4 linked regions of the Arabidopsis thaliana genome follow. The protein of the gene in region 4 interacts with the protein of the main gene of each other region in a pairwise test. Each region holds a gene or a part of one and is shown on either strand. Other genes may lie near its edges.

What was found.
Region 1: the proteins of PFK7 (region 4) and CHY1 interact in a two-hybrid assay, tested with the Arabidopsis thaliana proteins (one large-scale study listed by BioGRID).
Region 2: the proteins of PFK7 (region 4) and AT3G44620 interact in a two-hybrid assay, tested with the Arabidopsis thaliana proteins (one large-scale study listed by BioGRID).
Region 3: the proteins of PFK7 (region 4) and ETL1 interact in a two-hybrid assay, tested with the Arabidopsis thaliana proteins (one large-scale study listed by BioGRID).

Annotation. Positions count from the first base shown.
Region 1 is NC_003076.8:26,374,748-26,382,488, forward strand, and holds CHY1 (beta-hydroxyisobutyryl-CoA hydrolase 1), read right to left. Parts: upstream 4,935-7,741; 5' UTR 4,922-4,934; exon of another isoform or gene 4,871-4,921; intron 4,501-4,870; 5' UTR 4,415-4,500; coding exon 4,385-4,414; intron 4,310-4,384; coding exon 4,229-4,309; intron 4,165-4,228; coding exon 4,096-4,164; intron 4,035-4,095; coding exon 3,971-4,034; intron 3,896-3,970; coding exon 3,816-3,895; intron 3,747-3,815; coding exon 3,663-3,746; intron 3,584-3,662; coding exon 3,499-3,583; intron 3,417-3,498; coding exon 3,331-3,416; intron 3,190-3,330; coding exon 3,068-3,189; intron 2,834-3,067; coding exon 2,773-2,833; intron 2,676-2,772; coding exon 2,577-2,675; intron 2,511-2,576; coding exon 2,409-2,510; coding exon of another isoform or gene 2,385-2,408; exon of another isoform or gene 2,333-2,384; coding exon 2,291-2,332; intron 2,215-2,290; coding exon 2,083-2,214; 3' UTR 1,863-2,082; downstream 1-1,862. Other genes in the region: ZWI (kinesin-like calmodulin-binding protein (ZWICHEL)), read right to left, coding at 1-18, 96-277, 361-460, 546-1,112, 1,189-1,417, 1,508-1,647; AT5G65950 (trafficking protein particle complex subunit-like protein), read left to right, coding at 5,543-5,931, 6,025-6,086, 6,167-6,281, 6,362-6,485, 6,576-6,656, 6,840-7,181, 7,438-7,604, 7,700-7,741. UniProt on the Arabidopsis thaliana protein: Involved in valine catabolism. May be indirectly involved in benzoic acid biosynthesis and in cold signaling and cold tolerance.
Region 2 is NC_003074.8:16,191,114-16,197,657, reverse strand, and holds AT3G44620 (protein-tyrosine phosphatase), read right to left. Parts: upstream 3,830-6,544; 5' UTR 3,801-3,829; coding exon 3,435-3,800; intron 3,039-3,434; coding exon 2,903-3,038; intron 2,744-2,902; coding exon 2,520-2,743; intron 2,299-2,519; coding exon 2,236-2,298; 3' UTR 1,825-2,235; downstream 1-1,824. Other genes in the region: AT3G44630 (Disease resistance protein (TIR-NBS-LRR class) family), read right to left, coding at 1-440, 567-1,110, 1,198-1,366; AT3G44610 (Protein kinase superfamily protein), read left to right, coding at 5,551-6,095.
Region 3 is NC_003071.7:520,332-529,009, forward strand, and holds ETL1 (SNF2 domain-containing protein / helicase domain-containing protein), read left to right. Parts: upstream 1-2,891; 5' UTR 2,892-3,149; coding exon 3,150-3,734; intron 3,735-3,930; coding exon 3,931-4,048; intron 4,049-4,128; coding exon 4,129-4,169; intron 4,170-4,253; coding exon 4,254-4,504; intron 4,505-4,573; coding exon 4,574-4,754; intron 4,755-4,863; coding exon 4,864-5,049; intron 5,050-5,134; coding exon 5,135-5,308; intron 5,309-5,390; coding exon 5,391-5,549; intron 5,550-5,640; coding exon 5,641-5,718; intron 5,719-5,815; coding exon 5,816-5,952; intron 5,953-6,042; coding exon 6,043-6,261; intron 6,262-6,390; coding exon 6,391-6,553; 3' UTR 6,554-6,737; downstream 6,738-8,678. Other genes in the region: IDD4 (indeterminate(ID)-domain 4), read right to left, coding at 1-329, 650-839; LCR69 (low-molecular-weight cysteine-rich 69), read left to right, coding at 8,066-8,129, 8,385-8,554. UniProt on the Arabidopsis thaliana protein: DNA helicase that possesses intrinsic ATP-dependent nucleosome-remodeling activity and is both required for DNA repair and heterochromatin organization.
Region 4 is NC_003076.8:22,920,828-22,928,418, forward strand, and holds PFK7 (phosphofructokinase 7), read left to right. Parts: upstream 1-2,976; 5' UTR 2,977-3,483; coding exon 3,484-3,585; intron 3,586-3,775; coding exon 3,776-3,822; intron 3,823-3,902; coding exon 3,903-3,942; intron 3,943-4,082; coding exon 4,083-4,283; intron 4,284-4,375; coding exon 4,376-4,534; intron 4,535-4,623; coding exon 4,624-4,677; intron 4,678-4,767; coding exon 4,768-4,966; intron 4,967-5,049; coding exon 5,050-5,312; intron 5,313-5,398; coding exon 5,399-5,599; intron 5,600-5,709; coding exon 5,710-5,901; 3' UTR 5,902-6,136; downstream 6,137-7,591. Other genes in the region: NAC099 (NAC domain containing protein 99), read right to left, coding at 1-50, 199-312; MIOX5 (myo-inositol oxygenase 5), read right to left, coding at 6,707-6,733, 6,829-6,910, 7,016-7,094, 7,178-7,247, 7,340-7,462. UniProt on the Arabidopsis thaliana protein: Catalyzes the phosphorylation of D-fructose 6-phosphate to fructose 1,6-bisphosphate by ATP, the first committing step of glycolysis.

The sequences.
Region 1 (7,741 bases), 3.5 Mb from region 4:
CAAATAGTCATGTTGCAGCTGCATATATGTGTGTCAGCAACGAAAGGCAAGCCTTTTGTGTGGAAATAAATGTCACCAATGAAGAAAATGCTCACTTGAACATACGAAAGTTGCACAAACATCAGATCTGTTACAGCTTCATCAGACTCTCGGAATAATTTTTTTTTAAATACCAGTTTGCAGTGTAGTATCTCTCCTTTATTTCGATCTTTAATAGCTTTAAATTCTGCGAGGAGATCTCCAATATACTTGTTATCATCCAATCCTATATATTCCTCTGCAAGTGCACAGATAGAAAAATGATCGATAATGTTGTATTACTTCACAATATATGACGAAGCCAGTCATATGAAAGCATACCATTTCCGGGATCAGATGATTTAGAACTTGAAACAACTTTACGACATTCAAACAAACTAAAGCTAGAGAAAGCTGATAGTTTAATTGTTCCAGCTAGCTCCTGAAACAGATGTCAATGCAGTGAGAGAAAAAGGGACAAGAATATGATCAGCGGTAAATTATGAAAAAAGAAAGCAAGAAGATACCTCAACAGCATCAGACACTGTGGTAGCCATGTCATATGAAATTTCTTCAAAAGTTTCATCGAGAAAGAAGACAATGGTTGTGAGCTTTCTACCGGTCAAAAGGGCTTCAATTTCTTCACGACCAGGTGTGGTGTGCCTAGGACCAGCTTTGATAGAGCGCTTTAAAGCTTTCAAAGTGTTAACAGCAAGAACCTGAGCATCCGGTTCAATAGTTGCATCGTGTGCGACATTATGAATATACTCAGATAGATATCCACCGATATCTTTGCTAGGAGGCATAGAGGAGGCACATAAGTACATCAATTCCCAAGCTTTGATCAAGTATTGCCTGTCAGGATTATGTCTAGTCTGTTTGGAGATTTGGGCAAAAAGTTCGTCCCTGAGTTCAACACGCTTCAAAGTTTTTTTGAAGAGCTTTCCAACGAGGTCAATGCGTTCATCTAAACTGGGAGGCGTAGATCGATCAGATGAATCAACACCCATATATTTTAAGATGAGATGAAACAACTTGGTAGCACGGCTGACGAGATCGCTGTTAATCTTGAGGAGAGATGTGGGGATTGGATCCTGAAGGAAGGAAGGGGAGAGAGACATATTCAGTCAATGGATTGTCAATGGGGAAGAAAGGGGGGGAAAGAAAAACCTTTTGAAAGCAAAGCATATCCTCAAATGTGAAGCGCTCGCGGACATTGGAGCCAGAGGACTTTTTGGAATAGAAGAAGCCACGCTTCCCAGCAGACTGGATTTGTTTCTGCATTAGCCGCAGAAAAGCTTCAACCTGGAAGCGATCGATGAGGGGAATGGCGGCGGCAAGCTCCGCAGGAATTGACAATGCCACTTGAGGAGCTGGGGAGCTGTGACAGAGCGAGAGACTAAGAATGTTTTCAAATTTTCAAAGAAGAAGGATCAACAGAGACAGCAGCAAGAGAGTGAATGTTTTTAAAAATTCAAAGAAGACTTACAGAGGAGGAAGAGAAGACGACTCGGCATCGAAATCGGTTCCAGAGGGATTGGGAACATAGAAGCAAGAAGAAACGTCGGTGGCGACTTCGGTGCCATTGCCAGAGCTCAACGAAGAATTACTGCCTCGTTGGCCCTCCATACCCGAAGAAAAAGAGAGATTGTAGTAGATCTGATGAACAAATTTGCCCCAGAAATTTGGGCAGAGGGAGAGAGAGAGATGGGGAGACGAGAGTCACGGGAGATTTTTAATTGCCTCTTCTCATTCAATACTTCACGATTCACCTGATTTTCTAATTATTTTTCGTTTTCAGAAGATGAGACCAAGGAGGAATCTCAATCAAATAAATGAACAATGACTATAGACGTGCTTCCACGTCCGTTTGCCATGGTTGTGCCTCCAACACCATTAACAAATCTTAACACAATTCTGCTCTGCTGCTTTGGTGTCAATTCTCAAATACAATAATGATTTATGTAATGTATGCAAGTCCTATTCAACACAAGTGTTGTTACATTTATTTTCTTTTTTCTTTCCCACAGACGTAAACAATAGTGCTCCATCACCTTCTCCACTTCACAGCTTTGCGATCCCTAAAGCAGGCAAGTTATTCCTTGGCGGAAGCTTTAGATCATCCTCCCGTTCCACTCTCTCGAAGTACTGCTCCACCATGCTATCCTTCATGTCCTCCAGTCGCCTTGGCTCCCACTATAATTTCAGATATTGTTATCAACAATGTCACATATTACCAACCACAAATAACAAATGGAGAGACTTGTTAAACCTTTGGGTTCTTATCTTTGTCTACCAATATGGCTCTGCACCCCTGCATAAGTAAAGACACGCTGTTGTAACTACGGTCTACAACAAAGACGGTTTCAGATGGAAAAAGCTTGCAAAACCTCCACAAAATCTTTGCTGATTTCTCCCTTCATCACATGACACACCATTCTATACTCGCGGATAAGACACTGCCCCACCCCCTGCAATCGCCCTTCCCTTATCTGAAATATATACTCACAGTCAGCTCTTTGTCAACATTGCCTGTGATGCACATTCTGGGAACTAACCGATCTAAGAGAGATTTTAAGGCTTGCTGGTGAACCCTTCTTCAATGCTTGAATGGTAGCTGAGATCCAACCATCTGCTTCTTGAGTGGCCTCTCTCTCCTAAGCAACACATATGATGGTAGAGTGCGTTGTCAAAGGTAAATCAGTCAACTCAGGATCGCAAGTCAACATCTCTATATATAAATGAAAAGCTTACAAGTGCAGATATAATTTCTTCGACTGTTCTCCTTGAGAAACACCTATCAATAACATCTAACCTGCGCAACAAACGGGGAGATAAAAAATAACTGTCCTCTGCACTTTTATAAATTTTCAATTAAAGATCAGATGAGAAATGAGTTCTGTAAAGAGCGATTGAAAACCTGACAGCAATACGAAATTGAAATTATAGAAAAAATGTGTTATAATCATGGTCAATAACCGAGAAAATGTAATCAGGTAAAACCATACTAGTAGAAAGAGTAAAAGAGATAAAAATCATATAGACTTGCCTGCGGTAAGCACTCTGCTGTTTCAGGCGCGGATGCTGGGTGTATGCATCGAGAATTGTTGAGGCAAAAGTTGGATCATTTGAATTAATTCTGCAAAGATCTGCTTCTAATGCAGTCAACCTCTGTGGAAAGGAGTAAACCTAACTAAGTAGCAATCCTTGGTGAAGCAGATAGTGCTTGACACTAGTAGCTATACAATATCTGATGTGTAAAGTCAATTCAGAATGTCTTACGAAATAGACGCACGCAAAGGAAGTTCATACCGTTGAAGGCACAAAATGAGTTGCAAGGCCACAAGCAAGCATTTCAGCACCATCTAATCTAGCTCCTGTGAGGCCAACATACTCCCCTGAACAAAAAAGACAAGAAAGCATTTTCAAACTTTGGTGGCTTTAAGAAGATGCAAAAAAAGGAAATATAGCTTCTGTTACCAAAAAAACCAGGGAGCCTTGACAAGAAGTAGGAGGCGCCTACATCTGGAAAGAGCCCCAGAGCTGTCTCAGGCATGGCAAAAACCTTGGAGAAAGTCGAAAGATATGAGCATATTTTGGAGCGACCTATTTGTCATCCATGGACATGTTTAAGGAAAGATTACCGTGTTCTCAGTTGCAATACGAAATCGACCATGGACGGATACACCAGCTCCGCCTCCCATGACGATACCATTCAAGATTGAAACCTATACGAATTGATGAGTTTATCCACTCGGGAGTGATTTTACAAAAACAAAACGAAATTATAGCGAGACCTGAGCTTTGCTATATGTGGCCATAACATAGTTGAGCATGTATTCAGATGAGAAGTAATTGGCACCGAGTCTCCAGTTACCTAGTCAACGAACGAAGATAGAGAAAGAGTGTATAAAAGCTGAAAGTAAGAAACAGAAAAGAATGGGTGGTAAACCTTGATTGATGTCACGAACAACAGCTGCAACATCGCCACCAGCACAAAAGGCTCTCCCATGACCCTGTGGCAAAGTTATTCAGTACTAAATGTGTGTAAGCGGAAGAGATAAGGATAATGATTACCTTTAGGATGACAAGTTTCACACTAGGGTCCTCCTCAAATGCAAGGAACAGTTGCAGCAATCGAGAGATCTACAGAAAAAAATGAGTCTAAGCCAATACAGTACGCATGTACAAGAAGGGAAATATTCGATACCATGTGGAAGGACAGAGCATTCAGCTGCTTTGGTCTGTTTAGTGTCAAGATTCTAACACTCGATTTCTCTTCCACCAAAACCTGTGATCATATTATTAATTCAGAGAGCGAAGAATTGATCGTCGTAGATTCGGATTAAAGACGCAAGAAAGAGACCTGAGACTGAGAGGCCATCTCGACTGCCATCTTTCTTACTGGTCAGATTCGCCTTTGTATCTCCGGAGAGAGGAGCAGCAATGGGATCAGAAATTACCACTAATGGCTAACAAAATCTTCACCCGCTTAGTTTAGGAAGTTGATATTGGGCCTTATAGTAATCTGTTGGTTTTAATAATGGGCTTTATTTTGTTAATAGAGCAAATGGAACTTTGCTTTTCAAACTCAATTTCAAAGCCCTCTTGCAACATGCTTGATGAATGAGAAGATTATATGTTTTTATCGAGTACGTTAGACATGTGTTTTTTTTGTTAGGAAGCTAGTTTTCCAACTAACCAACACCTCCCTCTAGCATAAAATGACACGTGGGCACCAGATCAATCATTAAAAAAGTCTTCAAAAATTCTCAACAACCACTTCTAAAAGTCAGACATGAAAGCCCTCGCCTCTCGATATATAGATAATTTGCATATACATGAAAACTCAACAATCTGACGCATATGCAACAGAGTTGAAAGATGGAAAGAGCAAGGATACGATGGCCGAGTGGAAGAGGAATTAGGCTGAGGCAGAAGACAAAGAGACTGCGTGCGAGAGTGAGAAGCTTTTTCAGGCTTCTCAGGAGCTGGTGCTGCAGAAGGCCTCCGCTGGTCAGAGAAGACGGTCTTGATTACACATCTATACGTCGCTCTAACTCTTTCTACGCCGATGCAATTGCAGACTGCATTGACTTCATCAACCGCTCCTCCGCTTGACAGCTTCTCATTCTCTTCCAATAATTCTTTCTTCCATTTTGTAAAATCCAATGTTTCTGTATATGCAACCAATTCGAATTCTTTGTATTATTTTATTTTTTTGACGAGTCGATGCATCTTTAAGAAGTGGGCTTATAATGGGCCTGATGATACTACATCCTTAGAAACCACATTAGTTTAAATCAGATCTGACAACTGCAGTGGTTCATACCCTTAAAGATTAAAGGCCCGTTGAAAACCCATTAAGTATTTCACATCATATTCTGGGCCAGATGAACAATCTGACAGCTATACAAGTCCATTCCCTTATCCAAAGGCCCGTTAAAAGCCCACGTAAAATGAATGTGTCAGATCCTTCCTTGCTCGATTCAACGCGTCCGAGTCTCAGACACTCCCCGGCGAGATGGAGGAATACCCGGAAGAGCTCAGGACGCCACCGGTAAGTCTGGTGGCTCTCTTCGGATACGCGGAGCTACACGCGTCCATTACTAAGTATCTCCACTCCCAGCAGCCTCCCATCAACGCTCTGGCCTTCCCCGACTTCTCTCAAATCTCTCTCCTCCTTGCTCATGATGATCAGATCAGCCGAACCTCCTCCTTCAGAGATCCTCTCAGCGTCTCCGATTCTGCTTCTCCCATTCCTTCCAGATGCGGCGGTATTTTGAAACGGGACTGGTTGCTTAAGCATCGCACCAAGGTCCCTGCACTTGTCGCCGCCTTCTTTCCCTCACATCACATCTTCGGCGATCCAACTCAATGGCTACAGGTCTGCTCCGATCTCGACAGCCTCAAGTATTTCCTCATCTCCCTTTATATTTGTTTCCTTGTTTCCCCTCCTTTGTTTCAAACCCTCAAATTAACACTGCGATCTCAATTGCTTGCTAGATCCGTAATCCGTCCCAAAAACATCAAACTGGTGGTTGTCGTGGTCCAGTCTTCTCCCCACGGTAGCGCATTTTATCCGATTATTCTTTTCATTTTCCTCTCGGAACTACTGGTGACTTACTCCTTCCCGACTTGTTTTTAGAGGACATTAGCGACGATCGTCTGGTGGCATTGCGAAAGCGGGCAGAATTAGATTCTAAGTACGTGCTCTTCTTCAATTCCAGCATAGTCTCTGAACTCACGCTCTCTCTCTCCAGGTATGTTTCTCTCCTCTTTTACTTTGCACCTAGAACAAGAGGCTTTTCCTTCAATGCATCTCAACACGGTATGTTTGCAGACTCGCTTCTGCTTTTGCAGAGTTGGCACTTTCTTATTACAGAGAAGAAGGACGGAGAATCAAAAGCCGAATTGAGAAAAGGAGTTCCAATTCTCTTGATTTGAATGTTCGCTACTGTTTTAAAGTAAGCTTTTCTCGTTACCTCTGCTAAGTCTAATCATTTTGTTCCAAAGTATCTGGGAAAAGGAAGGCTCATTCATGCCATGACTGCTAGGTCGCTGTATATGCAGAGTTTCGTAGAGATTGGGGTGAAGCACTGAAGTTTTATGAAGACGCATACCATTCCTTGCACGAGGTCTTTATTATCTCTAAGTATTTTGTTTTTTCCCAACCCATCTGTCACGCTAATATGTATTCTGCTTCTAGTCAAGAAGTTCCTTTTGATGCATATATGGTCATTGCTTTCTTATTATTACATATCTTTGCCTGCGGTTTCCACACATTCAATTTCGACGAGCAATTTTGTTTATGCAAACAGATGATCGGGACATCGACTAGGTTGCCTGCAATACAACGCTTGGTCGAGATCAAAATCATAGCTGAGCAATTGCATTTCAAGATATCAACGCTTTTGTTGCATGGTGGAAAACTCATAGAAGCAGTGACATGGTTTCATCAACATAAAACATCATATGAAAAGGTTGTCGGATCCACAGAATTTATTTTTCTCCATTGGGACTGGATGAGTAGGCAGTTTCTTGTCTTTGCTGAGTTGCTGGAGACAAGCTCAGCAACTGGTCAGAGCTTAACATCCTCAAACCAAGGAACTGCGGAAATATCTTTGACTGAGTTTGAGTTTTACCCTGCCTATTATTATCAGGTCAGTCAATTCTGCTCTATGTAACACATAGTCGGAACATATCTAAACTTGGTGGTGCATTTTGTGTTAAATCTTTTCTGTGTCTTTTACCATTTAGTTAAAAACAATACTACATAAACTTAAACACCTACCTCTAAGCAAATGCTGGATTTTTCGTCCTCTTTCTCATAAATTTCTGAGCTGTCTGTTCCTAGGTACAGTATGTTGAAAATATAATATGTTCTTATCCACTGGGAAATTTTCGTTTTACACGCAGTTGGCTGCTCATTACTTGAAGGATAAGAAATCTGCCCTGGAACTGTTGTTGTCAATGTCTGAAATAGCTCAAGAGATTGATAGCAGCTCTGCATCTATTACTCCTTCAGTCTATGTGGGTCAGTTCGCTCAGTTGCTTGAGAAGGGAGAAGCTATTACACTTCACTCGTAAGTTGTTCATAATTCATCCCACAAATCTATGTAAAAGAAAACTAATTATGCTACCACCATCTCTAATAGTATGAATTCTAATGTATTTGCAGTATAACGGATGAAGAGTACACACGGTATACAATTTCAGAAGC
Region 2 (6,544 bases), on a different chromosome or scaffold from region 4:
ATTGATCCACTTCATCGAGAACAAGAAACACTTTCTTGTCTCTCAACCGTTCTTGAGCCACTCCTAAATGAGAAATCATGATATCTTTATGATTGATCATCTGGGACAACATTTGGTTTTGTAGTTGCAATTGTGCACTGTACTCATCGAAACAAGGTCTTGGATAGCATCCTTTGATATTGACCATGATTGCACTAAGTTGGAATCTGTCGGAGACTTGGTTAAGCAGAAATCTGGCGATAGTTGTCTTACCAATCCCAGGCGGTCCCCAAATCCCGATTATCCTTACTTCATCCAAATCTAAGCGCAACAATTGTTCCAGCATATCCATATGAGCTCTCATCCCTACTAACCCGTCGAAATCTCTTGATGGTGTGAAACTATTTAACATGTTTGAAACATCAGTGGCTATTTTCTCAATCATGTCTGCTTCATTCCTCCTGACAATAGAGGATAGATATCAAATCAATATACAATCGTTGCGATAAAATGGTCACGAAGATCTGAAAGAATACACTTTAACAAGGAAATATTAATTAAGGAGAATATAAATCAAGAAGACAAACCAGCTGTGAGAATGATATCCGGCGATTGTTGCCACATCCTCCAAAGCTTTTCTCCATCTCTCAACTTGCTCTTTTGGTTTACCTCTACATGTTTTTGTGAAGGCTTTTCCAAATTCACCGGTCTGTTTCTTTATGTCAGTTGGCTCCACTTCATAGAAAATGGTCATGACAATCTGACCCACCATTTGCCTGCATTTCATGATCTCGGCCAACTCATCAAGACACCAAGACGAAGAAGCATATTTTCTTGAGAGCAAAACGATTGCGATCTTTGATCCTTTGATAGCTTCTTTGAGCTCAGGACCGATCGACTTACTCCTCTCTATATTATTATCAATGAATGTGTCAATTCCCTTTCTTCTGAACGATTCCATGATGTGACTAAGAAAGGTTCTTCGGACATCTGCTCCGTGGAAGCTCGGGAAGACATCGTGTTTCCAGTTTCGAGACACAGAAGTTGCAAGGGAGGGAAGAGATAAAGAAGAAGAATTACTTTCTTGGTTATCTTGTTGGAATCTGAAATTTGTTAAAGCTACGGCTGCCACTGAGCCAAGGGAAATAAGAATAATTCATTAGTATGGTAAAGAGTGGATCAAGATTTAAGATGGCCTTTATGTGAATGGATACAGACCAGTGATGACTCTGTTGGCACATAAACTCCAAGATGACTCATCCGGAATGAATATGCAATTCTCAGCATCGTTTGTTGAGCATGTCTTTCGTCTTTTACAAGATTCGGAATCAACATCCTGACTCGTTGCTTTCCTCTTGGAACAGCTCAAGCTCATTGCAGAACCCATGAGAACTTAGATTATTGATGATTCACTGCTGCAACCATTAATTCCCACCATCAAGAACACATAATCAAGAAATGGGCTCAAAACACTAATCGAAAACAAATAAAGCATTATCATCAAATCAATTCAAATCCACAGTGATAAAACCTTAAGCAAAACTTAAAAATAGTTGGAACTTAGTTCAGACAGTGAGGAGTAAAAAAATGAAAATCTCACCGATGCATAAAACGATGAGAAATCTCCAGAGAGTTGAAGAATCACACGGGTTTAATGGAATTTTGGTAGTTCAAACAATTTGTGTGAATGAGGATATAGACCGTTGACGAGTCTATTGGCACAGAAAAACTCCATTGATGTTTCATGGAAAATATAGTGAGATTTCGTGGAAAATATTGCAAACGACAAAATCATTGTCCATATGCTCCACCACCATTCACTTAATTTCTCGGAAGCCACATAATGATAAGAGAAAATATTCTGTTATCATCTCAAACAACAACACTTCACGTCCACACATTCTTTTTTTTTTAAATCTATTTCTTTCCTAATAATAATGATCGAACAAAAGAATTCGTATTATTCAAGCGTGTAAAGAGTGCCACTCTCTATGATTCTTAAGAATCAGGAAGATCATTCCTCACAAACTATTGACATCACTGAAGCTATCAATCTCAATAATAATGATCCATCAGTAGATCATTTAACAAAGGGTTTTTCAAGGAAAACACCAACAAGATCAAGATCCAAGCTTCACATCAGTTCTCACTCTATTGTCATCACTGATGACACTTAAATATAATAAGAGAACTTTTCAGTTCTATGTGCAAAAACAACAAAGGTTCTAGGATTGGGACTTTGTACTTGTAGTATCATCAACTTTGCGCAGTGATACTATCCAGCAAAGACTCACAAGCATCTTCAAGCAAGTCCAGTACCTGTGAAAGAACAAGTAAGAGATCAAGATTCATGTTTCCAAGTGAGTTTTGTCCACATAAAACACTAAAATTCGGGAATGGAAAAGTTACTTGGGAGTGACACTGGTAATGCCATTTTAAAGTCTTATAGACTGACTCAACCATTTTGATAGACAACCTCTAATGGTATGAACCAAATTAAATATCTGCATTCAGCTTCTTTAGAGTCTAATGGTAATTACCTTCTCAAAACCTTGGGCTCCACCATAATATGGATCAGGAACAAACTTGTCATTGTGTTTCTTGCAATAAGAACACATTAGCTTAACCTGAAAATTCAACGAAAATCTATCAACTAAATAGAGTTCCAAAGTCCAGCAAACACACACCAACGGTACCTTCTTATCTGCATCGGGCGGGAAATTCCCTCTGGCTTTCCACACATTATAAGCCTTCAATATATCCTCTGCAAACATCAAACATTCAAACTCATACTTATTTCAATTCTACATATATAACTCTAATCAGATCCCAACTTGCAAAAGTCTCTATCCTATGTTGAATCCCATTTGCATAGAAATCGATCAGACCCTACAAAGGTTGAATAAATTACTCTATCAGCTACCTTTGTTCTGGTCATCCATTGCAAGAATGAGATCAAATTCTCTGAAATCAGATGCCTTGATCGGTCTGGATAGTGATGTTATCTCAATCCCGCGACGTTTCGCAGCACTTCTCATTCTTGGATCCGCCATATTCCCCTTTTAAAAAACCAACATTTTCACAAATCAGAAACATAAATTCCAAAGTCTCCACTGCTCCTAATTTACAACCACATTACATCCACCAAAATCTGAAAGCACCATTGCCTAATTGTTCCAATCAAAGCATCAATCACCATAAAAATAGATTACTGTTTTTGCTCTTCCCTAGTAAGAAGAGCAATTTCACATCAAAATTGATTCAGAAACATGAATTTCAAAGTCTCTATAACTCTGTATTCCTACCAAATTACATCCACCAAAAAAACCTAAAACCAAAACCAAACCTTTCTACATACAAAACCATCATTCACCAATATTTCAAATCAACCATGAATCAAGCATCTCTCATAAACCCTAAAATTAGATTAATTGTTTTGGAACTAATTATCATACCTCGTGATAATCAATTGTTCCAGCGGAATCAATGTTGAATTTGGAATCGAGACCTCTCTTCTTCACGATATCTCTAAAGACACCTTCAGCCGCTGGGCTGCGACAAATGTTTCCGAGACAGACAAAAAGAACAGAGTAAGGTTTGGTTTCGCTGCTCTGCGTCGGAGGAGGAGTCGCCATTGAAGATGATACAAAGCACCTAAGCGAATGAGAAATTCTGGGTTTTGCTCGGATGATAGAAACGAGATTCGGGTTTTTATCAGATGATCGGAAATGAGAAGGACGAAATTGTCTAGTGTAGTGGCAAAATGGTAAATATGAAGGGATTGTTAGAGAAGCCGTGAGGTTGGGACAGTACATCATCATTCCCCTGAAAAGTTGGAGATTTGGGATATACGAGTTTTCTTCTTCTGCTCTTTGAACTCCTTTTCCGTAATAAGCAAAGTAATAGAGGGGTATAATTGGGAATATACATAAACAATTGTTGGATTAGGAGTAGAAGAAGATGTTAGATTTTAGAGACGAGGCTAATGCTAGAAGACCAATTTTGTTAATGTATTGTTGTATTGTGTTGAAGGTACTGAGGAGAACATTATGGTCGGTAATGCAAATAATTTTGTGTAAATTCACAGAAATATTTTTGTTTTGGCCGGCGATGTTTAACTTTCATGTTGTGTTGTAACTTCTATGACAAGTTAAGGGCCTTTTTATCCATGAGAAACCCACAAAGTTTCTCAAACAAACAAAAAATTAATATTATATTATAATTTGATTTTTTGATTAAAAAAATATTTTTGTTAAAAAGTTGAACCAATAATGAGAAGAGAATTATCATGATGGGTTGTAAAGAGTATCTCAGAGTTTCTCAAGTGAGAAACTTTCTACACTCTTTTTCCTTCATTTTTATTATTTTTTTTTTTTAATTGTGAGAAATTCTTACAAGAAACCCCCGATGGAGATGGTCTAAGTGTCTCATGTTTCAGTACTTTGTTGATGGATAATGCGTTACTTATTGGCCCAATTGTACAGATGGTCTTTAAACTCAGGCCTAAGGTTTTCAACAGATAGCCCATTTCATTCTCCGAAAAACAGTTAGTACTTATGACGATTATTTTTTAATTCGGATATATAGTTACAATTTACAAACCTCATTGAAAAGATTTGTTTTGGTCATTGTTATGAATGTTCTAAGTTATCAATTTATTTGAACCTCTTTCACTTGTATTTTTTCGGTCTGACTAGAAAATATCCGGTTTAAGACGAGTGTTACAAATTGGTAATATATCCAGGGCCGGACTTAACAAAACCGGTTTCGACCCAAGCAATTTGTCTTTCAATGATATGGTTATAGACACTTTCCTTATCCAACCTAAAATGTTTCTGCTGATTTCATTAATGAGAAAATACAAGGGTTATATACACTTTCCTTATCTAACATATTCACCCGAGTCAAACCGGTTAGGTATATGCAATTGAGTTAAACCAATATCTAAACCATAATGGTTTCAAAGGAAATGAAAACGAGGCCGAGCGACCAGTCGACCACTAACCTGAGGTTCGTGCAATAGGGATTTGAGTTCACGATACAAATTGTTCACCAATAACACCATCCTTGTACTTGGTGACATAATATTCAAAAGACAGTGATTAGATATTTATTTATAATTGTACCATACGAAGAAAATACTAGTAATCACAACTGAAATAGAACAAACACAAGATATGTATATGTCATTATCTTAATTCTGTAGGGGCCTAGATTTATATGTCTCTTTGTTTCTCTCTTTTGAAACAAATCCTATACCAAAGATCTTAAAAATTCATAGAGAAATCAAAAATCCCTCTCAAATAATTCCCTAATTATTGTCTATTTACATAAATAAAACATCTCAATTATAGAATACTGTATCATCATCTCCTTAACAATCGAACTATTACCTTAAATTACGAAACGCACCATATCTCAACCCTTAAATTACAACTTTGCCATCTTCTTTTGATTCTATTTTTTCTCTTCCCCAAAAAGGCAAAATCTCACAGTTACTTCTCTCTTTCTCTCCCTCTCTTCTTCTTCTTCTTCTTCTCTCTCTCGTCGTCACTCTCAGTAGATCGGAAAATGGAGCCATGGATTGACGAATTAACCGACGACTTACAGAGTGTAAGCTTTACATCAGCCGGAACCACCGTGAATCGAAGCACAAGCTCCGGTTCTCGCTCTTCCTCCTCCGCCGCAGCTTTAACACCAGCACCATCAGCTCACGGTTCATTCTCATCTTCGAAACTCCCTCCTTCACTCCGATCATCTCTCTCACTCTCCGATCTCAGATTCCGTCTCCGTCTCGGTTCCGGCGACATCGGCTCTGTTTTCTTAGCCGAATTCAAATCCCTAACCGCCGTAACAGAAACCACCGCCGTTAAATTACCTCTGTTAGCAGCGAAAGTTATGGATAAAAAGGAGCTCGCGAGCAGAAGCAAAGAAGGTAGAGCTAAGACGGAGAGAGAGATTCTCGAATCTCTTGATCATCCGTTTCTTCCGACGCTTTACGCCGCCATTGATTCTCCGAAATGGCTCTGTTTATTAACGGAGTTTTGTCCCGGCGGTGACCTTCACGTTCTCCGTCAAAAACAGACTCATAAACGTTTCCATGAATCCGCCGTCAGGTAACAGTTTCCGTTAAGTTATTTATTTTTTTAAATATTCAGTTTCTAATTCAAAAAAAAATCTTTTGGGAAGTAATTATTACTATGAAGCAGTGAATAAATATAAAAGCCTGATGAAATCAGGGAAGTGGGACTCGCCAGCTGGCGAATTGTCTCGTAGTTAACACTTAAAACACACATAACTGAATTTAATGGCACCGTTAATTAATCACTAGTACTAGATTTATTGCCTTTTTAACGGTAATTACATCGTAATTATAGTAACGAGATTTAGTTTCCGTAATTTCTTCTGAATTTTTGGCAGTTTTCAGTAACCTTAACTTATATAATTGAAATGAATTTTTCCAGATTTGTTATTGGAATATATGTTTTTATTGATTGATGTGCACGATAGTGTAGTGTATTTTTAGATAGACTAGAAAAGTCTATATACGCCACATGAAAAGGGA
Region 3 (8,678 bases), on a different chromosome or scaffold from region 4:
ATCTGATTGAACAGCGTAACGCTTAGAACATTTCTCACATTTCCACTTCTTTTCGCCATGTTTACGGTAATAATGCTTCTTGATTCCGGTGAGGTCTCCGAGAGCACGTGACGGGTCATGGTGAACGCACGTTGGCTCCGGACAAAGATACACTTTCCTCTTCACTTCTTTGGTTGATTTTTGTTTCAGCTTCCATGGGAGATTGTGTCCTCTTCGGTGAAGCTGTAGATTTTGTTCTCTTTGAAACCCTTTGTTACATACATCGCATATGAATCTGTTTGTAGCCATTAGTGTCTTTGGAGATAATGCTACCACTTCCGCATCAGGATCTGTTTCATATAATTAAAGAATTTAATCATTTAAATTAAGTCACCAATTAGACCCAAAATGTCAATCTATGTAGACTATATCGAAAAAAATGATACACACACATGTAAACATAAATCAAATGACATATACACGTATAAACATATAAGATATACTGGCCTGTCAATATATATGAAATCTTGATACTAGCTAGATATACAAAACAAAATAGAACAAATGATTAGGGTTCTTTTTCTTCTTGGTATTATCTTAAAGCTTATATATAGTGATTCTTATAGAAAGGTGATAAATATATAGAGATTTATATGTAAGAGATACTTGCTTGGGTTTCCGGGTTGGTTTCTTCGTTTCTTGGGTGGTGGAGCTGAGGAGTTAGGTTGTTGAATCATTGACATAAAAGTATCTTTCCGGTTAAAGTCGTTATCTCCGGTGCCGGAGCTGGTGATGAAGAAAGGCTGAGCAGAGGATGATGATGAAGGAATAACGCTTGTGTTATATGATGATGACGACATCTTTAGATCTTCTTCTTTGCGTGGAAGAGAATAATCTACAAATAATTCGTAAGACAAAAAAGTTAAGAAGAAAACGAAGGGAGGAATTATAAGAACAGGAAAAATCCATAGAGATTGACGACATGAAGAAATTTTATAAAAACCATTTCACTAGAAGACATAAACAAAGAAAAACAAATTAAGAGTTTATACTTTTGTTTTTTGTTCCTAAACTTTTGAAAGAATTAAGAGGAAAGATTTCTAAGTTGTATTTTTCTTGTACCTGAGATCAAGAGAAAGAAACCAAGTAGAAGAAGGAAAAAAAATAGTCAAAATTAAAAGCTATAAATCGGAGCTAAAGAAAGAACCAAGAAGAAGATGATGCATGATGATGATGATGAGATAGAAGATGATGATGAAGAAGAAGACACTATTCCTATATATTATGTATTATAATACAAACACAAACCTCAAAGCCCTATCTCTCTCTATCTCTATATCTCTTTCTCTCTCTACTGTTTTGTGTTCTTCTTCTTTTAAAAATAAGCCATATATGAAATGATCTTGAAAAGTATGTCTCTAAGGTCCCCTCTCTGTCTCTATCATTTTATTTTATTTCGATTAATATAAAATAAAGCTACTTTTTTTCTTTCTTATAATTTAATTTGACAGAATTAAGAAGGATGGTTACGGTTTGGGTGTCACTGTTAAAACGGTGAAATGTGTCCACATGCGGGGGTGTGTTGTGGGTACCACATTTTTCTCATTCGTATCTTTCTGGTGAGCTTTAAGACAAAACCCTCGTTTTCTCTTCATTTAACTTGATTAGGTTTTGTTGTACTAACTTTTTTTTAATTGTTTTTATCTAATAAAATCGTTTATAATATAACATATCGTATATTAATACACATGATACACCAATCAATAGAGAATTTTTTAAAATTTGTTAGATTCTTGTATGAAAATTAATATATTGCTTTTCTTCTTTGGTTCAATTCTTCAACCTTTCAGAATGTTCAATGCAAAACAATCGAACCGATTGGTTTTGAATCAAACCTAATTAATCCTGAACGAGTAACCAACTCTCAACCGATCTGAATAGATTTTAAAACGATATATCACAAAATCTCCAATATCACTTTAAGAGCTTTGAGAAAATATTATTGATATATTATTATTCGACCGTAAAGTTTGATTTTCTCCTTTTCACTTGGGCTTTTTAATCTTATACAATTTAGTTTTATTTTAGTTTACAAACGACAACATATTTAAGTAACAGGTGACTTCTCAACTTGATCCTCTCTTCATTACCATCGATGCTTTTTAAGTTATACTGAGATCGTACCAACTGCAATGGGTCAGTGCCGGGCCATATTCAATCAGGGCCTCCCTGATTGGGTTGTAATATGATTTCAAGTTAGTAATATGAAATAGCACACAGTCACGCACACAAAAGAGCCTATATAAGGAGAGATATACCACAAACAGCCCAAGACCCAGTTGTTTTAGATGAACCAAAATTGTATGGAAATATTTAGTATTTGAAACTGCCGTCACCAAGATGGCAAGGTCAGAGAAACTCAATAACAACTCTGTTTCTGCCATTCCGAGAGTTAATATTAATTTTCAGAGTTAATGGATTAGCTAGTAAACATATATATACAAATGATAATAACCTGTAGAATGAGGATTAAGATCGAGAACGACGAGGTTATCTTTACCGCAACATTCCAAACGTAGCCAAAGCTCTATTACCATACCCCTCAATGTACATATCCAGCTTATAAGACTCCTATCCAGTATCCACCATCCAACGAAACACACTCTCAGATTCTTCCACATTATGAATACATGTCAACCAAATAATTTCTCACCTCAACCATCATTTCAAAACCAAATCTTCAAGCAAACCCCATGGATTTAAAAACCCTTTTCAAGTGCGTCAAACAAACCACAAGCTTTTAGATTTGTCGAGAAAGTGAAGTCGTTGGGCCCATTTCTTCGGATCCCTTAAGTTCACCATTAAGTACTCATTAGAGCCCATTTCTTGGGGCCCATTAAGAGATTAAGTCCGCGCGCATAGCTTTTGGAGGATGCCGCTCTTTTGTAAGAAGCAACACGTTGTTGAGTCTCTAACCTTTCTTTGAAATCTTGACCTTTCCCTTCCTTCTCCGCTAAATTCGTTTTAATTTCATCTTCTTCTTCTTCTTCAATTCGATGCAATAATAGTCACTTCAATCTCAATCTAGGGTTTTCAATTTTCTTCATGTGAATTTTTTTTCCCCTTCTTCTCAATTTCAATTCAATCTGGGATTCGTAAATTCTCGGAAGATGAAACGCGATTTCGACGAAATCTCCGAGGAAGAGTGGTCTCAACACTCGTTTAACGCTTCGCGAGTTCTTAAACGACCACGGACTCCGAAGAAGACTCGCGCGGCGACGAATCCAACGCCGTCGATTGAGTCTTTTGCGTTTAGGAGACCTTCGACGGCGATGACGATTGAGAGTAATAGCAGCGATGGTGATTGTGTTGAGATTGAGGATTTGGGAGATTCGGATTCGGATGTGAAGATTGTGAATGGTGAGGATTTGTTGTTAGAGGATGAAGAAGAAGTGGAAGAGACTAAGGTTGTGATGCGCGCTGCGAGAGTTGGTAGGAGATTTGTGATTGAAGATGAAGAAGCGAGTGATGATGATGATGATGAGGCTGAGAGTAGTGCTAGTGAGGATGAATTTGGAGGAGGAGGAGGAGGAAGTGGAGGAAGGAGAGGAGAAGATGAAGATGTTGTGGGGAAGGCATTGCAAAAGTGTGCTAAAATCTCAGCGGATCTTCGAAAAGAGCTTTATGGTACTTCTTCTGGTGTTACTGATAGATACTCTGAAGTTGAAACTTCTACTGTCAGGATTGTCACACAGGTACTGGAAATTATCACTTTGGTGTTCTTAAAGTAGTTGCTTTGAGACGATTTAGAGTGTCTTCCTTATACAATTGTGAAGTAACTTTTGATTAGATAGCATATTTTGGTGGTAAGCTTTGATTGGTTTGGTTAGAGTTTACTGTTTTGTTAACTAAAACTTGTTTACTTTTGGGTTGAATCTGTGATGATCGCAGAATGATATTGATGATGCATGTAAAGCAGAGGATTCTGATTTTCAGCCTATACTCAAGCCGTACCAGTTAGTTGGTGTTAACTTTCTTCTTCTGTTGTATAAGAAAGGAATTGAAGGAGGTATGTGTTTTTACTAGTTTCGATCTGTAAACCTTTTTAGCGTGAATGTCACTTTGTAACTCACTTTCTATTGTTTGTAGCCATTTTAGCCGATGAGATGGGTCTTGGAAAGACCATTCAGGTGCATTTTGCTCTGTTATTACTGGATAAGTTTTCTTTGTTTCTTTATCTTATAAAGAACTAATTTTGTTCTCATTTACCTTAGGCAATCACATATTTAACCCTCCTAAGTCGCTTAAACAATGACCCTGGTCCTCATTTGGTTGTATGCCCTGCCTCTGTCTTGGAAAACTGGGAGAGAGAGCTCAGAAAATGGTGTCCGTCGTTTACTGTACTTCAATACCACGGAGCTGCGAGAGCAGCCTACTCAAGAGAATTGAATTCTTTGTCAAAAGCTGGGAAGCCACCACCATTCAATGTGCTTCTTGTGTGTTACTCTCTGTTTGAACGGCATAGGTGCAACTCTTGATGCTTTTATTTGCTTTTTGGCTTTTCCTGTTACTCACAGATGTTGGAATTTTACAGTGAACAACAGAAAGATGACCGAAAAGTACTGAAACGGTGGCGCTGGAGCTGTGTTTTGATGGATGAAGCCCATGCGTTAAAGGATAAGAATAGTTATAGGTGGAAAAACTTGATGTCTGTGGCCAGAAACGCAAACCAGCGTCTTATGCTTACAGGAACGCCTCTACAAAATGATTTGCATGTACGGTTGGTTTCTGTTGATTTTTTCAGGATCTAATTACCTAATATAGACGACATTTCTTCATGTGGTCATACAATGCTTATTCCCTGCATATGTTTGGTCTATGCAGGAACTATGGTCGCTGTTGGAGTTCATGTTGCCTGATATATTTACGACAGAGAATGTTGACTTGAAGAAGTTGTTGAATGCAGAAGATACTGAGTTGATTACTCGAATGAAATCTATCTTAGGTCCTTTCATCTTGAGGCGTTTAAAATCTGATGTCATGCAGCAACTTGTTCCGAAGATACAGCGGGTATGGATATATCTATGCACAATTAAGTACACGATATTAATCTTCTAGCTGCAAATCTCATTAATTTCCCATCAATCCAATGCAGGTTGAATATGTATTAATGGAGAGAAAGCAGGAAGATGCATATAAAGAAGCCATAGAGGAGTATCGTGCTGCTTCTCAAGCACGGCTTGTGAAGCTTTCATCAAAATCCTTGAATTCTTTAGCCAAGGCACTTCCAAAGCGTCAAATTTCAAACTATTTTACTCAATTCCGGAAGGTAATTCTCAGCTACTAATACAAAGCCCCTTTTGTGCCAAATGAGTGTGTTATTCATGTGTTATTAAATTTTGGTTGTACAGATTGCAAACCATCCATTGTTAATTAGGCGGATATACAGCGATGAGGATGTCATTCGCATCGCCAGGAAATTGCACCCAATCGGTGCATTTGGATTTGAATGTTCCTTGGATAGAGTTATCGAGGAAGTTAAGGGTTTCAACGATTTCCGTATCCACCAGGTAAATGTTTCTCTTTCCAAAAGCAGTTGAATATCCATTAACAAACATGTTATGCAATTGAAGAAGCTAACTAACTTGTTTCTTTCCATAGCTTTTGTTCCAATATGGAGTTAACGATACCAAAGGAACTCTCTCAGACAAACATGTCATGCTCTCAGCAAAATGTCGGGTACGTGATATTCTTCTTCATTTCATAAGTCTTCTTTGTGAAACTGATTAAGTATAACTAAACCTGTGAGCGATCTAAATCTCCCTTTATGTATCAGACATTAGCTGAGCTTCTCCCTTCAATGAAGAAATCCGGCCATCGTGTTCTAATATTTAGTCAATGGACATCGATGCTCGATATCTTAGAATGGACACTTGATGTCATCGGCGTTACATACCGAAGACTTGACGGCAGGTAATAAAAGAAAAAAGAGTAATTTGTCACATTTTTGACGATTCTACAAAAAGGAAGAAGCTTAAGTCATTTTCCTTTTGTTTTCAACAGTACTCAAGTTACAGATAGACAAACCATAGTCGACACATTCAACAACGATAAGTCGATATTCGCATGTCTCTTGTCAACTCGAGCAGGTGGACAAGGTCTTAATTTAACCGGAGCGGATACAGTCATTATTCACGATATGGATTTTAATCCACAGATTGATCGGCAAGCTGAAGATCGTTGCCATCGTATTGGTCAAACAAAACCAGTCACTATCTTCAGGTTTGAGCTTTAAATCCTTGAATCAGTTTAGATAACTTTCAGAACAAAATTGTGGTTTGGATTGGTTTATGTGTGCTCTGTTTTGTATTCTCACATATATCTGTATTAACTCTGGCAATGCTGGTGCAGACTGGTGACGAAATCGACGGTTGATGAGAACATCTACGAGATAGCGAAGCGGAAACTAGTTCTTGATGCGGCGGTTCTAGAGTCCGGAGTTCACGTAGATGACAACGGAGACACGCCTGAGAAAACCATGGGAGAGATTCTTGCTTCTCTTCTCATGGGATAACATTATTGTTACCTTTTTTGTTTTGAGGTAAAATTAGTCAAGAAACGAAGTTAATGTGTTATTCTAAACATGTGTAACCACTAGCTATTATTAGACTTAAATTTAATAGATCACGATAGTTATATTTTCTTCTACGCATGTAAATTATAACCCAAAAATTTCCTTCTTTAGACCTAAAAGTCACAATTGTTCCAAACACTAAAATGTGGATCAGTGATCAAATGAAGTGAACCTTCAGGATAGTTTAGTCTTCGATCATCAAAGATTGTATAAAGGAGTGACTTAGCTGTATTTGTAGGTATCAAAATTGAAAACCTCACGCAATGATTAAAGGTCTCAAGTATCTTTATTCGTCAGAGTTGTATAAGACACAAATCTCACTAGATTGTTTTCCCATTGTCTTTGCCGAAACCTAACAATGAACAACTAGTTCTATTAGGATTGGTTCAAGAATGTCACATAGTATAAGTTTTTCTTAGCTGAAAAATTCTAGATAACTTGGAATAAATTCTAGATAGTCTTTTTTTTTTGCTACATTTGAAGATAAATATCTATGAAAATGTTCAAATTCATGATTATATTATTGCGATTAAATAATTGAATATGACTATACAAAATAATTCACTAGTAAATCAAAGCCATACTAAGTTTGGATTCTTTGTGGTAACTGCCATTGCCAAGTCACGTTTTGAAGGTGTTCTCATGGTCAATTTACACTTAAAATTGAACCTGAAAACTAAGGCCAACCGGAAACTTGTTGAATTGTGTGAAGTGAGAAAATGATAATCGTGTATAACTTATAAAGTCACATGATAAAGAGAAAGCAACCAGCTTTTTGTCTGCCATAACAGTTCTTTAAAATATAGCCACAATTATACTACTTAATTTAGAGTAACTAATCCCAAATATTACTTATCTAAGTAATAATTAGAAAAGTATTCGATATTTATTATCAATTGCGTTTTAACTTGCTATATAAATACAAAGTTTAATTTTTATATAACCCACTAACTTTTTCATTTTGGTATATGATAAAAATACTCTATCCCGTGACTATTCCACTTGTTGTTACTTTTTAGTTTTTTTTTTACATAGCCATTATCATTGTGGACTCCACAACATCCGCAAACTCAATTATTTACTTTTCTATACGTTTATTTGTTTTTTTCTGATACAAAATTTGGTGCATGAATGACTTCTCGAAACGGTAGATGGACTCCACAACATCTGCGTGTCTTGTCACCTTACGTTACGGACCACAATTTACACCTATGAAAGTGTCGGTAAAGCAAATAAAATCGAGAAACTCACACCACTCTTATTCAAATCCAAAGTGAATACTCCAAAAATAAAGTAAATGATATTTATCCAAAAATATCTAACAAACGCGTAAAATGTGAATTATCTTGAACGTTTTAATACCTCTTTACTCTCTTTATATAGTGCCATTTTCCTCACTAGCAGCAACACACTTGAACACTACTTTCGAACTCTCTCTTTATCTCTCTTGCAATGAAGCTCTCTATGCGTTTGATCTCAGCTGTTCTCATCATGTTCATGATATTCGTCGCCACTGGTTTGTTTCTCATAACCTAATATCTAATTTTCACACATAACCCATGTTTTATGATAACATATTTTAACATATATAGATAGTTTCATTTTTTATAACATTCTGTATTTATGGTTTCTATCGATTATTCTTGTGAATGCTCATTTAATTATAGTTAAGTTCACTTCGAAAGTTAAGTAATATGCATCAAGCATGAGACACATGAAACTAAGCTATGGTCTAAACGAAGTGTTCGTTTTGTGTTTTGATTTTGTCTAGGGATGGGACCAGTCACTGTGGAGGCACGCACTTGTGAGTCGCAGAGCCATAGGTTCAAGGGTACATGCGTGAGTGCATCAAACTGCGCCAACGTGTGCCACAACGAAGGCTTTGTCGGAGGTAACTGCCGTGGATTCCGTCGTCGTTGCTTCTGCACCAGACATTGCTGATCTACCCATTCTCATGCATAATTCAAGCTTTGATCCATCGTCGTGTGTCACTTCTTTCTTATCTAATCTTCCGTACAGTACCATGAAGTACCGTACATTAGTGTGTTCTCAAATAAGTCTTTGG
Region 4 (7,591 bases):
TCTTGATCTGTCGGATCGAATTTCACTCCTGCCGGCAATCCAACCCAATTCTTAAAAAGAAAAAAGAAGAAGGCTGATTAACAATGAATAATAATTTCAAAGATATAAAGAAAAAAGTGACAAGATGATATCTTTAATTATTTTTATTCTTGGGGGTTGATTAGATTATATATGTCAAGGTGTATAATGGAATATTACTGGTTTAGTAGCAGCTTGAATCATGCGACCACATCCAGGACAATGTTTTGATCCGCAAAGATGATGATGTTCTTCGAGCTTTGAATCTATGAGGTTACATTTACTATTCTTCATAGTTTTCTTTTGATCTCTAAATGATTTGATGAGAAATTGATCTGCAGTTTATGAACAACAAAAAGTAATTTTTTAAAAGATATTGATCGATGCATATATACACGATTCAAAGCATATAATAAAAAAGAAGACAAAAATAGTTAGTAAATATAAAGATTACCAGATTTGTATGACAATACGAGATCTACCAAAATTAATAAAAGGTAAAAGAATGAAATTGATAAGATGAGTTGATGTCATTAATATGCATATATGCGTGATAAAAGAACACATAGACAATTTCAAAACATGACAATAATAAAGAAGAAGTACAAACAAATATCAAGATTACCAGATCTGCGTGAGATCGATTGGATAGGGAAAATGTAAGAGGAAGAAGAATTTGATAAAGACGGGAGTGATCTCAATATATATAGTAGAGAAAAATAATAACTTGTGATTTATGCTTTTTAAGTATTATAATTATTGTTATTAATATCTCTCTTTGTTTCCAGAAGAGACACAGAAACACATGTAGATACGACTTTAAGTACTGAAAAATCTATGTCAAGTAGATAAAGAAATGAAGAAGAAATGAGGAAGACGAAGAGTAAAGGAAATAAAAGGAGTTGAGACTGAAAAGGTTAAAAACCCTAATTTTACTCTCTCTTGTCTTGTGCGACTCATCTTCAGTCTATCGACCAAACCTTTTATTTATTTCCTTTTTGTTTTATCTATCTATTTTATTTATTATTATTAGTGTATTCGTATTCTAAGGTGGTATGTATTAATATTATAATAGGCTTTGTACATACAAAATTAGTATTACTCAGCTAAATGAGACATATCAGACCATGTCAACTTTTTTTGAGCAATATAAGGAAATTACGAATTGTGAGATATTTATAAGTTTTAGTTGGAGTCAAGCTGTAAAAAATGTAAGGCTTTCTTTTTATCAAAAAGATAAAAATCTAATTTTAAAGATTTTATTTAATAATCTTGTGCTTTAATTAACTGTTGAATCTCGCTCTTTTGTTTGAAATAAATATTTGTTTGTACATCCATTTTAATAGTATAAAACCTGGTACCTTCTCTGACCTTCTGAATGTTTTTGAACATAATTACGGATTAATTTAGGAGAAGATTATCAATATTTTTAAAATAAAGAACGCAGGAAAAGAACATAGGAAACAAAGCATTTAAGGATAATCTCTTTGGATTATAGGGCAAACACATGTTTTTAAGAATCTTTTTCTTTTTTGCTTTCTTTCACATTATTTGAAATATGTAACATATTCTTGTGGGATTTGAACCCAATGGTCCTACACTGGTGTGGGTCCAATGATGATGTCGGGAGATGGGGCCTAGCCGCAGATTTGTTTGAACAACAGATCAAACGGTCATCATTTATTTGATCTAAATGATTATATTAGGTTTTGCATTTTTTCTTCTCCTTTGAAAAGATGAAAAACGAAAAAAGGTCAGAAATCTACTGGAGATAAGAGTACCGTCTGAGACTAGAATAAACATAGATATCAGCTGAAAAAATTGATAAGAGTATGATAATGTGCTTATTCAGTTTTATTATTAAAAAAATAAAAAAATTAGTCTGCTACGAAAACACAAGTATACATACTATAGTTGATAAGAGCATTATCCATGGTGTGTAGTAAGTAAGTAAACAAACCATTATATTTGGATTAATCGAGTATTCAGCAAATATTCATATTGTCTTGTTAATGATTAAGAGCCTAGAAGTCTTTAAAATATCCATCAAGATTCAAACATTATGACTCAAACTAGTGTGGTGTTGTCCATTATACTCGAAACGAAATGGTATTTTTTCAACTTTTGCTTGTAAAACTTAGCCAGTGCATGGCCTTTATTAAATCAACTATTGGGTCACTGCATGACCCATTTATCAACCTGTAACTGAATATTGGGCTTTGGCAAAGATCCAATTAGCTTCATTCGTATTTCAGAAATTTGATTTTATATCCGACTGAGTAGGTACGTATATGCAATACGTTATGTCCTATTAGCCTTATGGGACTCACGGGTACTTATGCAGGAGATGGATTAATTTCATATCCATCTGCAAACTAAATACATTTATTTTCTTATGGCAAAAAGCCAAAAACTATGTAACGTTTAATTTACGAAAAAAAAAATATTTAATATTTGGGTTATATGGATTTTTTTTTATTTTTTTTTTTTTTTTCGGGACATTAGCGAGAGTCATAGTATTAAAGAAACAGTAAAAACAACGACCAGATTTAATGCAACTTTATTACTACTTTAATTCAGATTCGAGAATTGACAGGCAAATACGCATTATTTTAGTACATTATGAAGAATCATACAGTTACATATTTCACATATATATTGTTTTAAAGATGTAAAACGACTAAGCAAGTATGTCATCTGATAGCATTATGAACTAATAACTTTTTGTCAACTCTGATTTTCATTTTTAAAATTATTATATCTTGTTACCTCTTTGTAACCAGCAATAGTTTCTTGACAACAAAAGAATCGGCAAATCAATGAAAACTTATTAAACTAACACACAAAACATAAAAAATAGTGATTAGCCGACACAACAAAATTGGATTTGTCTTTCTCTCTTTAAAAGATTTTCACCCGAATATTCCTAAAGATCTGAAATACTGAAAATATCACACAAAAAAATCCAAAAAGAAAAAAAATCATTTTAAAATTTAGAACTTGTTTTTCAAGGCCCAAAATTAATCGTTGTCAATAATTGGAAACTTAAAAATAAAGTCTTGTTCTAGAAGAATGTGAATCATCTTCTCCAAGTTTCAAACGTTGGTTTTTTTCCCCACTGTGATCGTCAGCTTTATATATTATATACACGAGAATCTTGTACCCAATTAACATATACATACATGTAAATGTGTGTATGTATATAATATAAAATTATTCTCCTTTTCACTAATTTTTCTTCAAATACTTTAATGCCCACCACCTGTTCGATCAAATTCCCCATCTCGAAAAGCTAGAACTTTCTTCGTCTCTATTGGTCTCTCACTCTCTCTCTTACCTCTTCTCATTTGTTCTTTCTCCTTCTAAATTGGGTTATCAAGTATATTGGATCAACGGGTTTGATTCACGATTTGTCATTTCATCTTCGTGGAGAGAGTTTGATCTGATTTGTTGATCGTCAGCGTTATGTCTAGTCCGAGAAGTAACAAGCCGAAGATTGTCAACGGTCCTGGTGGTTATATTCTACAAGACGTTCCTCATCTCATTGATTACCTTCCTGATCTTCCTGTATGTTTCACTTGATCTCTGATTGGTTCTAAATTGATTTGAAAATTTCTCGATTTGCACAAAGAGATCGAATCTGATATCGTCTAGTTAACAAAGGAGGAATCTTTAGCTTTGGGTTTCAATGTTCTGATCTGTTTCTGGTTTACTCTTAATAAAATGGTGATAATTCGTGGTTTTGATGTTATTGCAGACTTATCCAAATCCATTGCAAGACAATCCAGCTTACTCAGTGGTTAAGTAAGTATCTTCACCTATTTCAGACGTTTCCATTGCTTAAAGTTCATAGTTTTTGTTCTCATTTGGATGTTTTTTATCAGGCAATACTTTGTTCATGCTGATGATAGTGTCCCTGAGAAGGTAATTTATCAAGCATAATCCTTTTTTACCTGTAATTGTCTGAAGAATGGTGTTAGATGATCATGTCTTGTTGAAAGTGAGATTTTTAAAAGTAAAAGGCTCACTTTTTCTATCCTCTGTTTTATTTTCGTGTTATTTAGGTTGTTGTTCACAAGGATGGTCCAAGAGGAGTCCATTTCAGGCGTGCTGGTCCACGTCAAAAGGTTTACTTTGAGTCTGACGAAGTGCATGCTTGTATAGTTACATGTGGAGGTCTCTGTCCCGGTCTCAATACCGTGATTAGAGAAGTTGTGAGCAGCTTATCATACATGTATGGAGTAAAGAGAATTCTTGGAATCGATGTAAGTTTGGTGAATCATAATTAATCTCTTCGGTTTCATTTTGGATTTCATAACTATTGTCCAAACGATTCTCATTTGTTGAAATCTTATAGGGTGGATACAGAGGATTTTACGCCAAGAATACTATCCCCTTAAACTCTAAAGTCGTGAATGATATCCATAAACGCGGAGGAACAATCATTGGGACCTCAAGAGGTGGACATGATACCAACAAGATAGTTGATAGCATTCAAGATCGAGGAATCAATCAGGTTAGGGAATAAACACAGCCACTGCTTTTTACGTTGTATGTGAAAAAGTTTGTCAACCTTTTCTTGATGTAGTATCTGTTATCATTTAGGTTTACATTATTGGAGGAGATGGAACCCAGCGAGGTGCTTCAGTAATATTTGAGGTAATTCCATTGTGATATTTCAGAATAACAGTTGTAAGTTTTAAGTTTTAACAATCAACAACTGAACTTAGATTGTATATAACCATGTAGGAAATTAGAAGACGTCGACTAAAAGTTGCTGTGGTTGGAATTCCAAAAACTATTGATAATGATATTCCGGTGATAGATAAATCTTTTGGGTTTGACACTGCTGTGGAGGAAGCTCAACGAGCGATTAACGCAGCACATGTTGAAGCCGAGAGTAATGAGAATGGTATCGGTTTTGTCAAGCTTATGGGTCGTTACAGCGGTAAGTCTTTGTTTTGAAACATACAACTTAAAAGACCTTTTCGATTTGTTACTGACTAATGCTAGGCGGGTGTTGTACTACAGGGTACATAGCGATGTATGCTACATTAGCCAGCAGAGATGTTGACTGTTGCTTGATTCCCGAGTCACCATTTTACCTCGAAGGAGAAGGTGGACTCTTTGAGTTCATAGAGAGACGGCTGAAGGATCATGGTCACATGGTGATTGTTCTTGCTGAGGGTGCAGGACAGGATTTGATGTGCAAAAGCATGGAATCTACTCCTATGGATGCTTCTGGGAACAAACTTCTTAAAGATGTCGGCTTGTGGCTATCACAAAGCATCAAGGTAAGAGTTAAAAACTTTCAAGATCATGAGATTCTTATGCCTTTTACAGAAAATTTCCTCATAGGGTTTATTTCCTCTTGTTGTAGGATCATTTTAAGAAGAATAAGATGGTGATGAATCTCAAATACATTGATCCTACATACATGATCCGGGCTGTTCCAAGTAATGCATCAGACAATGTTTACTGTACACTTCTTGCTCAGAGCGCGGTTCATGGTGCAATGGCTGGTTACACTGGCTACACCAGTGGTCTTGTCAATGGAAGACAAACATACATCCCTTTCTACGTAAGTTACTAATACAGATCTAATGTGTGCGGGATGGTCCTGAATTGAATCTGATCGTGTACTTGTGAGCAATTCTGAATCGTGTCATTGTTTTTTTGTTTGTCTTGCAGAGGATAACAGAGACCCAGAACAATGTAGTGATTACGGATAGAATGTGGGCGAGGCTATTGTCTTCTACGAACCAGCCAAGTTTCTTGGGGCCTAAGGATACATCTGAAGAGAAGAAAGAGTTGCCGGAAACACCGCTTCTTGACGACGGAGCTGTCGATATTCCTCCTGTGACTAAAGAGGTCACTAAGTGAAGAAGTTGCAGGGCATAATAATGGCATATGTATACTCAGAGGGTTCTGTAACCGATGCCGTTTCAGGCGAAAGTGAAATAATTGTTATTTTAACGAATTTGCCCTTTTGTGTATGTGCATACACAACACAAACACAAATTTTAGTTTTCTTCTAGATGTTTAGTTTTGTAATCCTTTTTGCATTTTCCACAACTGAATAAATGAATGAAGTAATAATCTTCGTTACTTTGATCCTATATTTGTTCTTGTATATGTTTTTTCACACTCAAAATGAAGAGAATAGGATGCAAGAGAGCTAAATTGTTTTCACACATAGATACTTCAAAAAGTTTCTTTTTGGTAACTGATCTTTTAAAGAATGAGAAAGCTAAATCTGAATGATTTAATGCAGTCAAAAGTGTTTTTTTTTTCTTGAAGGTTTCTATTATTGATAATTGAGAATTTGATAACTTGTTTGGATCAAATCTTGGTCTAATAATGATTTGTCTGATACTGAATTTGCAAAAAAATCTCAGTAATAGTGTAATACTTTTTTTTGGTTAAAAAAGTAATAGTGTAATACGACAGACCATAATAAATAAATTTTTTAAAGCAGAAGATGAAAGAAGAAAATATCATTTTAGTTTATAATAGGACAGACGAGATACAATTACCGTTTGTATCAACATTAGCATTAACATTAGCTAATGTAACAATACAACTTTATTAACTGGGCAATAATATGCTTAAACGACAAGTAATCAAACACACACACCATTTTATCTTTCTAATAGTAGACTTTTTTTGGACGGCCTCGATGCCGTTTTCACCACCTCAGATTTTCCGGGAAATACTGAAAAAAATCCCAAACAAAAATTATATCACAATGCTGTAAAAATTAAGTACATATCCTATTTTTCAAAAGCAGAATATGGTAAAGATCCTCACTTTCTTGATAAGAGACATGTAGTACGGCTTAACCTTCTCGACATTGACGTGTACTTTGCTCTTGCTGTATAAGTCATACTTGCTATATAATAAAACATACAATATAAGTATTAAAAATCTGATCATCGGGAAAAAAAAATCGGGTTTAATTAATTAAGAAAGACTTTTATTTAGAGAAATAAATTACTTAAAAACATGAAGCCATTTGAGATTCTCCTTGTCTTCCTCGTTCATAAGGTGAGTGTAAGCTCCAGCCTTGTGCAATGCTACAATACATTAATGTTAATTCATCAATCAAATTATGTTACTAATTAAGTGTTTAGTTAGTTAATAGTTTTATTGTGCTTACGATAAAAGGAATGGTATCGGATGATGAATAGTCCCGGGGATGGTAAGGTGCTTCCATTCTCCTTGGCCACCTATTTAACCATATAATAATCGTTTTGTGAATCATGTAATCATAATTAATGATTATAGTTGATAAACTATAGAAAGGAATTAAAGAATTTACCAGATACATGTAGTCATCATGTCCCCATGACATAAGAACATTTTCAAGTCCACAGCCTTCAGAATAAATTCCAGCTTTGGTATTGTACTTAGGGTTGTTAAAATCAGGGTTTTCCATAAAATACTACAATCATGGTTGAAAAGGAAAAAAATATATTATAGAAATCACTTGTTTGGTAAATATTAATCAACTAGGTTCTAACTATCAATATTTTGAGGATGTCAAAAAAAGAACTATCAATACTTTGAGTAA